2 linked regions of the Arabidopsis thaliana genome follow. The protein of the gene in region 1 interacts with the protein of each later gene in a pairwise test. Each region holds a gene or a part of one and is shown in the gene's direction. Other genes may lie near its edges.

Region 1 (4,268 bases):
GGTGAAGAGGAAGAATTACGATTCTCTATTCCAATGTTTATGTTTGAATCACAGCTGTTCATGTTATCTGAATTAGAATGTTACCAGAAAGTTTGATACAAAAATAAGATCGAATCTCACGAATTTATGATATTTGTCTGGAATGGGATCAGGAGATGTTGATTTGGTGATGAATGTTGTTGCTGTACTGATGTGGCATCATGTGGTATATCACTGGGCTTATAATATATCATCCCTCTGTAGCATTTCATATTTTAAAACTGTCATAAAAAGCCCATGAGCTTACTTCTAAGCCGAATACTATTGAACACCTCTTAACCAGATAGGTGTGATGTGCATACTAGTGCCCTGGAATCTAACATTGTTCATTGCTTGCAAAGAGTGTACAAGCAACATTAGCTAGTGTTGCGGGCCAAACTTCATCATCTACACGAGCGCGAGAATACTACTCCCTGAAGTAGTTACTACTCTCGTTTGCCTTAAATGAGAAGAAATATTACAATCTTAACTGGTTCCTATTTGAAACGGTTTTTGGAAGGAAATGCAAATTAGTTTCTAAGGATAAAGAAATCAGAAAAGATGATGAATTTTAAAATCGACACCGCATTCACTTTCGGTGAGTTCTCTTTAGCAACTTTTGTTGTGATCCTAAATCCAAATTAAGAATCTAAGAAAGATAACACACTAAACCCAACAAAACAAAGGTCATGCATGTATCTTTTTTTTATCCATTTAAAGACAGATATATAATTGATACCTTGTCCTGTCCACATTAGAAAGTTTTCAACTCTTTGATGTATAAAGTTTGATCTCTGGTCGTTAAAAAGAAAAACCTTATACTTTGATAATCGGATAAACTCGTATAGAATCATGCCAATGATGCCATATAAAATACAATTAGGAGTTAGGAAATACATTTAAATAAATATCTAACGGCTGCCGGAAACTTCTTATCGACAGTCTTTAAATAGAGTGCATAAACTTGTTATTATATGTACCGAACGTTGAAGGTTTGCTCGACAACTCCAAAACATTATAAAATTTTGTCAGCTAACTTACCACTAATTATTTCGATCGAGTGAGGAGTCACCTTCATATTCTTATCTATATTTTTATATATATAACAGAAAATTTATAAATTCTTGTCAACTAACTTGCCACTAATTATTCGAGTGGAGTCCCCTTCATATATTCATAGATACATATAACTACAATTTATTATGTCAGCTAACCGTTGGTATTAGTATGAGTTACCAAAAAGGCAAAGATTCGAATTTATGACAAGTTCTGTTTATTGATAGACGAAAGAAACAAAATTGTCCCTATATTCAAGATAAAAAGAACGACTTTAATTACATGTACGTATTTGTATTTGCTGGACGATAATAAACATACAAATTCAATTTTGAGGAGTTGAAAATATTCCCTAGCTTCATTCCAGATAATTATATGAGTTTTTGTATATCTACTATTGAATTATTACGTAAAATTATGAATACGTGAAGAGAATGTAATACATACTATGAAACAGCTAGCTAAGTTGAGAGGGGAGGTGGCACAACTCCTCCAATAAGGAGACAGCCTCACACGCGTATTCCAATCGGCGCCGTCATATTGCCACGTATACAATTGAACGCTCGAGATCTCTTCCCCATACGTGTGAAGCTGTCTCGTAGTGAGTAAATATTAACTTTATAAATCTCCACGATGGTTCTTGCTATTTTTATATATCACCTTTAAATTTTGCTAAATTTGATCATTGATCCTAATTAATTTAATAATGAACCGACTATTAATTATGCTTTAGATAAATTAGTATGAATTCGTTAATAAATGCATGGCTCTCTCACCTTCTTTCTGTCTTCCTTGTGAAGAACAACAAGATTTAAATAAAAATACCTAAAGTTATTATTCCATGATTTAGTTGTATTCACATCACATGGATTCCCTTTTCCCTACAAAGCTTACCTTCGTATATATGCTAAGTTAAAATAGTAACATATATACATTTGTTCAACAATTGGATACAAATATGAACCAAAAAAACAATTGGTTACAAAAATACTTTAAATGATTGAATTTAGTATGGTTTTAAAGCGTATATATCCCTTTAGTTCCACTTTTCCCATCAAATATCTTCTTAACTAAACCACAAGGTCTTTGGCAATTGGCATATATATTGCTTACGGTCTAAGTTCTTAAAGACATCTTTTTCTATTTTTTATAAAGTTGGCCAAATTTGTGTCAATTATAAACACAACAACATACTTTTTCTTTCGTACCAATACAATTATATACACAAAAGTAATTCTTTATTAAAATATCAAATTAAGGCCTTTATAAGTCGAGGCAACCAAGCTAACAACTCATTGCAAACTGAAACCAAAACAAATATCTATACAAACACATAACACATATTGAGAGCCAGAGTGAAAAGAATTATACCCATTACTAATCGCCTTTATCTGTGAATTTTCTTGATAAAAAGAAGACACAAGTCAAAGATAAAATCAACAAGATGGGAGTTGGGGGAACGTTGGAGTATATATCAGAGCTAATAGGGAATGGAGGAAGCCATAGTTATGGAAAAAGGAAGAAGAAGAAGCAGTTTCAAACAGTAGAGCTCAAAGTTAGGATGGATTGTGATGGTTGTGTCCTCAAAATCAAAAACTCTCTTTCTTCTCTAAAAGGTAACTAGCTTCTTCTTTTATAATCAAAATTCTCGTCCGAATTTGTGTTACTGTCCCTTATGAGATGTGTTTGCTTACTCCTATCTAAAACTTATATAAATACATGCATCAATCATCATGCATGCATATATATAACATGAAAAATCTTCCTTCATATATTTTCAGGAGTGAAAACGGTGGAGATAAACAAGAAGCAACAGAAGGTGACAGTGAGTGGTTATGCGGATGCGAGCAAGGTGCTGAAGAAGGCTAAAGCGACGGGGAAGAAAGCCGAGATATGGCCGTACGTACCGTACAACTTGGTGGCTCAGCCGTACATAGCTCAGGCTTATGATAAGAAAGCACCGCCTGGTTACGTCAGAAAAGTTGACCCAAACGTCACCACCGGGACGATGGCTGTTTACTACGATGACCCTTCTTATACTTCTTTGTTTAGTGATGATAATCCTAATGCTTGCTCTATTATGTAGTTTTTTTTTATTTATTAGATAATTTATAAAGGAATTTATATAATATATGCCGGTAATATATGCATAAATGTGGGTTATAAATTTTGGTGTTTGTTCTCTTTTAGTTCATGGTTTTGTCTTCTTTTGCATGTGCTCTTTGTTGGTGTTACAAGTGAATGTTTTATTAATATTAATATAGATCTAGTATTATATTAGCTTAATCAATTGGATATCGTAAGTAATCATTGTTTACTATCATTGGAAGATATAAGTGGAAACTAGTTAATTTTTTCTATGCTAGTTTCAAACTTACAAAACAATAACAAAGACGTTTGTTTTTGGTTAAGGTGTTTCATGGTCTTTTAATTTGAGTTTAGTTTTTTGGGACCCCAATATTCTAACTCTTTTCACCCACTCTCTTTCTCTTTTACATACATTATTAAAAGAAAAATCCAAAAATGGATAGTAAAGATCGATCACATAAAGCTTAAAAAAACTGTGTATCATAACATACACGGGTCATGTAATCTTTCTATACATACAACTACCCCCACCATACTATATTTTAAAGGACTTATTCAACAATTTTTACTGATATGATTCTTGCTCTTCAGTCTTCAGGTGTAAACAAAGTAAGAGCATCCTCAACAATAAGCTCTTATTAAAAACCTCTTAACAACAATAACAATGATTATTTTATTATAATATTATTATATAAATAAATTTTAAGTTTAAGAAAAAAATGAACCAATGTATAAGTGACATGTGGCTTAGGTGGTTTACTTGATTATTAAAAACCTCTCTTCATTCTCTTATCTAAGAGCTCCTCTTCATTTTTTCTCTTCTTCTTTCCATGTTTTTATTTTTATATTACTAGATGAATTCCCACGCTACGCGTGGGTTTGTTTTAAAAATTCTTTAGATAAAAATATGTTAATTATTTTTGTCGCTAATTTATGTTTACTTTTTGTTTGTTATTTTATACTTAGTAAAATTAGACTCATCTTATGTACTTACATTTTTATTGTTAGATTCATTTTTGACTCTAAATATCAATTTTTATATATTTTCATGTATAATCTGATTATTTTTATATCCAAAATTCTAAAATTTGTTCATTATCATGAAT
Region 2 (8,867 bases), on another chromosome or scaffold:
TTAGACAAAAGCAAAGGATAAATGTAGAGATGTAGGGAAACCAATGAAGAAAGATACTTAACTTCCCAGCGGTTTTCGTGAACTGAACTCTTTTGTACAATCATTGTCAGATTCTTTCATAACAGCCTTAATCTACTTAGATTTCCAAAGCAATGTTTTTTAAGTGAATCTAAATTCCCCAGGGTCACAGGGACCCACTGTGCTTTTACACTTTAAAGCTTCCTCCAAATCCCAATAACTGATATATAACATGACTATATCTACAGGAAGGAACACACACAAAATCAGAACTCAGAAGGGCTATAATCTCATAACTCCTAACCTTCTCATTTCTTTGAAGAAAAGAAAGATACTCTGAATCTTCTTGTCTGCCTAAGAGCAGAAATGTTGGGTTCCAGTACAAGATCAATGTTTTTTCTTCTCGTCTGCATAGGATTACTAGCAGACAACAGATATAATGTCTCAGCCATGAGACATAGAGAGTTTTTCCTCAAAGAAACACAAGCAGAAAAAGCAGGAGTTCAGACAGAGGAAATTTCTAAGCTCAGGAGCATCGGTGTTCAATTCAAACACACCCTTGAAGATCAAGAAATGCTCAATAAAAACCGACGCGTTCTCGAGGAAGTTAACAAAGATAAAATCAAAGCTGAGGAGACACAAGAACGAAAGAATAAGACAGAAGACTCATTCAAATCAAGCAAGAGACGTGTAAGACGAGGATCAGATCCTATCCACAACAAAGCTCAGCCATTTTCTTAAACGGCGCAAGAGAAATCAAATACAGAAAAAGGCAATATACTATAGAAACGCAAGAAGAAGAAAAGGGCATAACAATCAACCTTATCAAAGCTGGAGGTAGGTTAGTTGGTTATTCTCAGGGTTTATTTTTCAAGTATAGGTTTTGATAAGAACACACAATATGGTGAAGCCATCAGATTATGCAGAACAGCATTATCTGTTCAGATACACCAAGAGAATACATATTTGTTTTCAAGATATTTCTTTGACCAAGTCCCCACTCTATTGTTTGCATTAGTTCGTATAAGTTTTGTTCTTTCTGCAATGCTTTTGACTCCCACCAAAACATGTCCTATGTATATAACATATCTCAAAAGTTTTGATTTTGCTACAACTTCACTATGCAACCTCTATTTTCACACAAATCACATTTGCACTTGAAAGGTAAACAATTCTGTCTTTCTAACAAATATCAAACTTATCATTTGAGTGAAAATGAAAATCTAAGAAATTGGAATTCTAAGGATTCTTCATGAACGTAGCCTTAAGATCAACCTTCAAGAAATTTACAATCACATGAAGATTTTAGTGGAACTAATACCTACATTGTGATGCGATCCAACTAATAATCGGTAGATCAACCTCTCAAAATCGAAGTATTACTTAGGCGCCATGAAAACCAGCGGAATACGAGGACTTACAGTTATTCTCCGAATACATCTTCCGGCGAGTTTAACTCCGCCGCCGGATCAGCAGTTTCCTCATACGGTGGGGAGGAGAATCATTGGCACCTAGCCGCAAGGAACGGCTCGCTACGACGGTTCAGTCGCCGAGGGCCTAACGGTGCTACCAGAGAGCTTAGTTTAGTTGTTAGGCCCAGTTCATAAAAATAACTCTCTTTGGGCCTAGGCCTTTAGATATTTTTTTATCCTGCCCAGCCTTGATGTGTTTGATTTGTGCTCGATGATTAAAGTTAAATCCATCTTTTAACTTTAAGAAAAAATTTGCATAAATTAATAGATTTATCGTTGTCCATCAATAAAATGGATTTATAATTTTACTATACAATTTTAATGATGGAAATATAAAAATAGTTTTTAAAAAAAATATGTATCTTGTTTGAATCTAATGTTAAATTGTATTCAAAAACAAAACAAAAAAACATTGATACATATGAATGTAAATTTTTCTTAAAATAAATTATTAAGAGATTCTATGATCTATCTTCACCTCTTCTTCTTAGTACGCTCAAACGGATTTCATGTTCTTGTCAATCAATTTAACGATTTTCTTCGTGGTCGAAGATTGGTCTCGTGCCTCCTCTCATTTCTTTATCACTAAATAAAGAGTATCGTGTTTTGAAACAGTACTTGGGAATAAATTTTGTTGTGGAATCAAGATCTTTACTCGCAAGCTCTCTCGTGATATCCTTCTATTTTGTCTGAGTTATCAGCTCTTCCCACACCTTTCTCGAATACTGGCATTGAAAAAACAAATGCTCTCTCGTCTCCAACGGATTTTTACAAAATACGCAATTTGTATCCGCATTTTGGTTCCATTTAATCATTCTTTATTATGTTGCAACTTTGCTTTTCACAACCAGTCAAGTGACAACATCATACTTTGGAGTAGCTTTGGAAAAACTAACTTCTTTGTATCCTTGCATCTCCGGTTTAGCTATGCATATTTGTGACCACGTCTCTTTAGAGACAAATTGCTTACGGTAGTTATCGTTTTTTATCTAGTCTTTGTTTCTGTTTATTTTTCTAGTAGTGAATTTTAGCATTTGTTATTTATCTAATTAAGTCTTACTTTGTGTCATTTACCTACTTATTCAATAGGTATATACATAGATAGAAACGTTACGCAAAAATGACCCCATGATCATATGACATTTAAAATTTCGGCTACAAATGACTTTTTCTCCAACCTTAGTGGCCGGTTTGCGGGATGCGCGTGCTATTTCGGTCATTGACAAGATCGTTAGGAGATTGTTCTAATCCGTCTTTATGATTCTAATTGTGATACGAGTAAATAAATTGTTAAATCAAAGTCTCTGTCAACGAATTATTAGTAAAACAATAAATACGTTTATTTAATTATTTTTATTGTATGGTCAAATATCTCCCGATTGTTGTAAATTGGATTCTAATTAAGCGTGATTGGTGACTAGGTTTATGATAAACGACAAAACGTAACACCAACTGTTATTCATTTATTCTCCTCGCAAACAATGCTTTAATTAGTCTCATTTCAGGGATCAGACTCTTAACTATACATTAATGAATAATTTATATGCCTTTCAATAAGATTTTAAGTTAATTAAACGAGTATCCAAAGCTTAACGAAATGAATGTTGATGTCTGATTTGTTTTGTTACTTTAATTCTAAAGAGTAAAGACCTTAGTAATTATAATTAATAACAAAATTAGCCATGCAGTTTGATCTTACCAATAACATTCACATGTAGTAACATTGTAACTTATAAGAAAAGGTTCATCATTTTTTTCATGAATGGATCATCATAAAAGTAACAATAACTAGTCACAAAATGTTCCTTCAATTTTTATTTTTTTGATAGAAACTATATTTGTTGTAAAAACAAACCCTATAAGAATCGATATGGAAAATGGCTAATGAAGATTCAAAATAATTGTGGGGTACTTAGAAGAGGAAGACTTGAAGACATACACCACATAATTGTGACCCAAAAGCTAATCAATAACGTAAGCAAAATGCGAAAGAACACTAAATTTCGGCGCCACACTAATGACAAGAAGTGAGAATAAAAGGTCGGTAAGAGATAAGAGTCTTTCCAAAGGGTGGTTAAGGAATTTAGACATTTAAATTTCATGATTAATTACGAAACATGAAGTTTGGCAATTGTCACAACAAACTCTTCTTTGCTCCACGATTGAGTCAAGTATTAAGTATTCGTGCGAAAGAAGTTCTTTTAGAGGTGTTTTCGGTAATCTACAAAATCTTCTAGTTGTTTAGCACTTTTCCTTTTGGAACGAATTAGTACATTAGCATAAGTCAAATATTTCACTAGAACACGTAATACCTATACTAGTAAGAAATTTTATTGACTTTATTGTTTAGTTAGATTATCGTTATAGGAAAATTTACGATTTTAGACCTCTAGATAAGAAAATGGTCCCTAAACAGAATCAAAATTGAAAAGATTAAAACGTTTTAGTATAAAAATGCAGGGGTGATACAGTGAAATTAACAGAAGTATGGGGTGGTAACGTAAACTCTTAAAAATAAGAAACTGTAATATGTACAGTGGAATATGAAACTGCAGGGCAGCTGTAATTGTCCTTTAGTACGATGCATGTAATGGGCTATTGCCACGTATACACTTTGGACTCAAATCTTCCAACTAATCCCATCCTCTCCTTCGAATATATTCGATTAATTAAAATTTTATGTCACGCTCAGAAATTATTCATCTTTTTTATTTCTTTTACACAACAAGTTACCCACTGGTGAAAGTGAAAACCCATATCTTACAAATGTCCCGTAAAATCATTGCTTTCTGATAAGACCTCAGATTCAATATTTTATACAGGTTCAAAGTGTATAGTCTGTCTATATAACGTATGAATAGATATCAAAACTAGTGACTAAAATATTCAAAAAAATCTCTGTTTCACCAAAACAAGAAAAAAAAAAAGTAAAAAAGAAGTTGTGAATTTTCATTGATATACAGTGAGTGTTTTCTTTCTTTTGCTGTATGTTTTGGACGTTTGTGAGTAAGCACTTATTATTATTTTCCAAGTCCTAATTATATTTCATCACTGCCATGTTCTTTACCGATATAATTACATCATCGTCACATGCACTTACATAATTATCCTTTTTTAATAAATAAAATAAAACTACAAAACCTAATCTTCTCATTAATCACAAAAGCAAAAGATTTAAGTAAACACACTATAAAGACAGAACTAAACAAAAGCTATGGATTTGTCTTCCAAACCACAACAACAACTTCTAAACTCTCTTCCCATCGCCGGAGAACTAACTGTCACCGGAGAAATGGGTGTTTGTTACAAAGAGTGTTTGAAAAACCACGCGGCTAATCTCGGCGGCCATGCTCTCGACGGTTGCGGCGAGTTTATGCCGAGTCCCACGGCTACTTCCACCGATCCTTCTTCTCTCCGTTGCGCTGCTTGTGGCTGCCACCGTAACTTCCACCGCCGTGACCCTTCCGAGAATCTCAACTTCCTCACCGCGCCTCCGATTTCTTCTCCCTCCGGCACTGAGTCGCCGCCGTCTCGTCACGTGTCTTCTCCTGTTCCTTGCTCTTACTACACCTCAGCTCCTCCACATCACGTGATTCTCTCTCTCAGCTCCGGTTTCCCTGGACCGTCAGATCAAGATCCAACGGTGGTTAGGTCAGAGAACAGTTCAAGAGGAGCAATGAGGAAACGAACAAGAACCAAATTCACGCCGGAGCAGAAGATCAAGATGAGAGCCTTCGCAGAGAAAGCTGGTTGGAAAATCAACGGATGTGATGAAAAGTCGGTGAGAGAGTTTTGTAACGAAGTTGGGATTGAGAGAGGAGTTCTTAAAGTGTGGATGCATAACAACAAGTACTCACTTCTCAATGGCAAGATCAGAGAGATCGAACATGGCCTGTGTCTGAACACTCACAGCAATGATGGTGATGGGTCTTCATCTTCTTGAAGAAAGATTCAAGATTCGGGTTAAACCGAATTAGGATACTTTAATTTGGGAAAATATGAGCATTAACCGGTTTAAAATCATATAATAGTGTCTTTTCTCTAACATGTAATCGATCTTGATATAAATATTTATGCGGTTTGATCTTTTCTATTTTCATCACTTTGACAGAGATGTGGTCAGAGATCACAAATGGGTTTGGTAATAAATAAGTTTTTAAATCGGAGGTTGAAACGAATTTTGATAGACCATTTCTAATTATAGTAAGTGCATAAGCGCTAATTGTGATCGTAGAGATCAAAAGATTCGTTTCTTTGTTTACTTTCTGATTATTCAATGTTATCTTCTGTATTATTAGAAATAAATCTCCTGAACTTTAGAGATAGAGTAAGTAAAGTTTGCTTAATGAAGATACGACGACGTGGTTATTACGAATTGCAACAAACTATGGCGTGGCGGAATATAATTAGGTCACTGGGCGGCACATTTTTGTTGTTAATTTATATGATATGATTAAAAGTTATTAAAATGCTGGCTTATCTCTTTCCATTTAGGGATAAGCTTTGGCAACACCAATCTTGCTTATTTATCCTAATTAAGTACAATGCAGATGTTACGATTACTAAAATATCTACTATGTGCAATGATTTGGCTCTTCCCGCACCACTGATATTAAAAATTCGTTTTTTTTCTTTCATTCATCATGTATTAACGAATCATAGCGAATGCTTTATCACGTATAAATGGTCGTAAGTTCAATGCCGGAGACAAAGTATTTTACCATGTATGTACGAAGTAACGAAGCCCAAGCCTTAACAAAAGGCCGGTACGAATATCCATGCCAGATAGATCAATGTATGCAAAAGCTCTATGTAGATACGAGTAACTGCATGCAATGATTAATGATCAATATATGGTACACAAATTGTTTAACATGCATTTGGCGGATAAAATAATTTACATTATAGATCGGTATATGTGTTTATGGTTGGATGATTGAATTTTTTGTATGCTACTAATTAAGATTCCGATTGGACAATATTCCAATACCTAGCTAATATCGATTTTAGATGTTAGTGGTCCGATTAATTGATGATGTAGATATCAAATTCTTATATCAGTGGATCAAAAATATGATACACGAAGACATGTTACATAATGATGAAAAAAGTAGCAACGGATAATCCCCATACCAACAGTATGTAACATGTCTTCGTGTATCACATTTTTTAGATGATATTTCAAAAAAAAAGGTTTTTATTAGTTAGATGTTTTCTTTTGTTGGAATATGCAAAGAGGAAAGCAATGTAAAAAATTCCATTATAGCTAAAGCCCATTGTAGTTTTTGATTTTTGAGACTAGACCCAATAACACACTAAAGGACACTAATCGAACCAAGTATCTTAGGGATCCGTTAAGTCTTTCACCAACCGGAGACTTGGTCAAGTATAAGTATAACCGTTGAAGCATACCATAATCCAAGTCAAAGATCAGAATCCTTCAGTGGGGATCTTGCATCCAAAATCGATATGTATAGTCACGGTGGCAATTTTGAGCCAAGCCAGAGACGAAGCAGCTCAGGAAAACTCATCATGCTTTACTTTGGATTGGTAAGGACACTGATAAGTTGATCACCACATGGAACATCTTTATCATCTATCTAGTGTGTATTTATGTTAGATAAATGATTATCAAGAGAGGTCTTCTTGGGTTGGGAGATGTATAAGGTAGTGATTAAGATGTATATAAACACATTTAAATGAGTCAAATGGTTAAATAAGTCAATTTTTTGTTTGAAGTAAAATAAAATAAATAAGTTTCTTTTATAAAGTAAACAAAATCATTTTACCTTCTTTACAATTTATAAGATAAAACATGCACCAATCACCATTTATTAAATCTAGTTTCCATTTTACCTACATTAAAAGAGGATGGGATACGTCAGCATCAATGTCTGGTCCAAATTTATTGAGACACGTGTAGCCTTGCATCTCTATTGCACGTTGAAAATGAAACGAAAATGATAATTAATTTGCTTAACACCTAAAAGAAAAGGACTAATAAACGATCGCACTCGAAATTAAAAAGGAATTTTCAATTTCAACGTAACACGAGCATCTGCCAAATGCTCTCGTATAATAGTCAATCAATTTTGTTTTTGGACCGTGACTTGGCCATGTTTGGACGGTCGAAGACCAAAATCTCTCACGCGACTATCTACAATTCTACATGTTACCCAAACTCATTAATACACCTATAAGGCTACAAGTGTTCACCAGCAGCTACACATAACATGAAACTGCTGATATTTTTCGTTGGTCGCCCCCCCATAGGCATGTATGTCCGGGCTCGACCGTGACCCGATCATACCTTTACTTGATCTATATCTTCCAACTTTTCTAAATAGTTATGAAACGCTAATTATCTTTACTATTACAACTACTTTTTTTTTGTGATATAACTATAAATATCATTAAAAATGAAAAGTTTAGGGATTACAAAATGTAACACCTATAACTTTTTAAGTCAAAAAACAAGGCTACAAATATTTATGAAGACACCAAAGTGAAATCACCTAATCCAAAGTTGCATTAAATTTCTAAAATGCTTCATTTGTCTTCGAGGACTGATTACAGTTATGATATCTTTATCCATCAGCTCAAAAGTGGTATGGTGAGACGAGACTGTGAGATTGTGAAGAACATTATTCCACTGCTTCCAAATGTGATAAATTGTAGTTTGAGATGTTCGAACTACCCATTTAAATAATAAATAATAAATTCTTTAAAACTACTCAAATCCGAATTTTACTCGTTTAATAAATTATCCTATTTTAATAACAAATTACCATCATCATATCTCTTATTTGCATTTCACAAACATTATTTTTTAATTCTAAAATCTATATACTTTTACCAGCTTGGTATCCGATATTATCCTATTTTTGGCTTGTTCACCCAAATGTACAATCTGCAACTTTAGAAAAGAAATTAGGTTTAAAGATGATATTCATGAAAGAAAATCTCATATGTGACCAAAGAAAACAATTTAAGAAAATCTTAGATTATGACTTTAGAAAGATGATATTGTTTCTTTTCTGACAAAAAACCAAAAGAGATGATTTTATTAAATAACAGTTGAAACTCCAAGAGAAAAAGGGCAAGTGAACCAATGAATGTTTTGAAGCAAAGTGACAAATGGAGAAGAACCCGAAAAGCAATGTAAAGTTTGACTCTTGAGTTCTCCCACGTCGAACCATGTCCGTTCTCCGATAAAAAAAAAGAGTAAGTTTCATTACAGTTATTCGAATAATTTTAATTCAAATCCTAATGTATTTGATATTAATATTCATTTTTTTCCCAAGAAAACAAAAAACTTTATTCTCTTCTTCCTTTTGGACATCTTAAGCACAAGGCAAAAAAACATTCAAATCAGAA

Evidence for each region. The genes of interacting proteins can lie anywhere in the genome.
Region 2: the proteins of AT4G39700 (region 1) and ZFHD1 interact in a two-hybrid assay, tested with the Arabidopsis thaliana proteins (one study listed by BioGRID).

The regions. Positions count from the first base shown.
Region 1 is NC_003075.7:18,421,747-18,426,014, forward strand, and holds AT4G39700 (Heavy metal transport/detoxification superfamily protein), read left to right. Parts: upstream 1-2,362; 5' UTR 2,363-2,518; coding exon 2,519-2,690; intron 2,691-2,855; coding exon 2,856-3,160; 3' UTR 3,161-3,363; downstream 3,364-4,268. UniProt on the Arabidopsis thaliana protein: Heavy-metal-binding protein.
Region 2 is NC_003070.9:26,177,766-26,186,632, forward strand, and holds ZFHD1 (zinc finger homeodomain 1), read left to right. Parts: upstream 1-4,390; 5' UTR 4,391-4,704; coding exon 4,705-5,433; 3' UTR 5,434-5,781; downstream 5,782-8,867. Other genes in the region: CLE45 (CLAVATA3/ESR-RELATED 45), read left to right, coding at 385-759. UniProt on the Arabidopsis thaliana protein: Transcription factor involved in the up-regulation of several stress-inducible genes. Acts as a transcriptional activator by interacting with MED25 and NAC proteins. Involved in increased drought tolerance.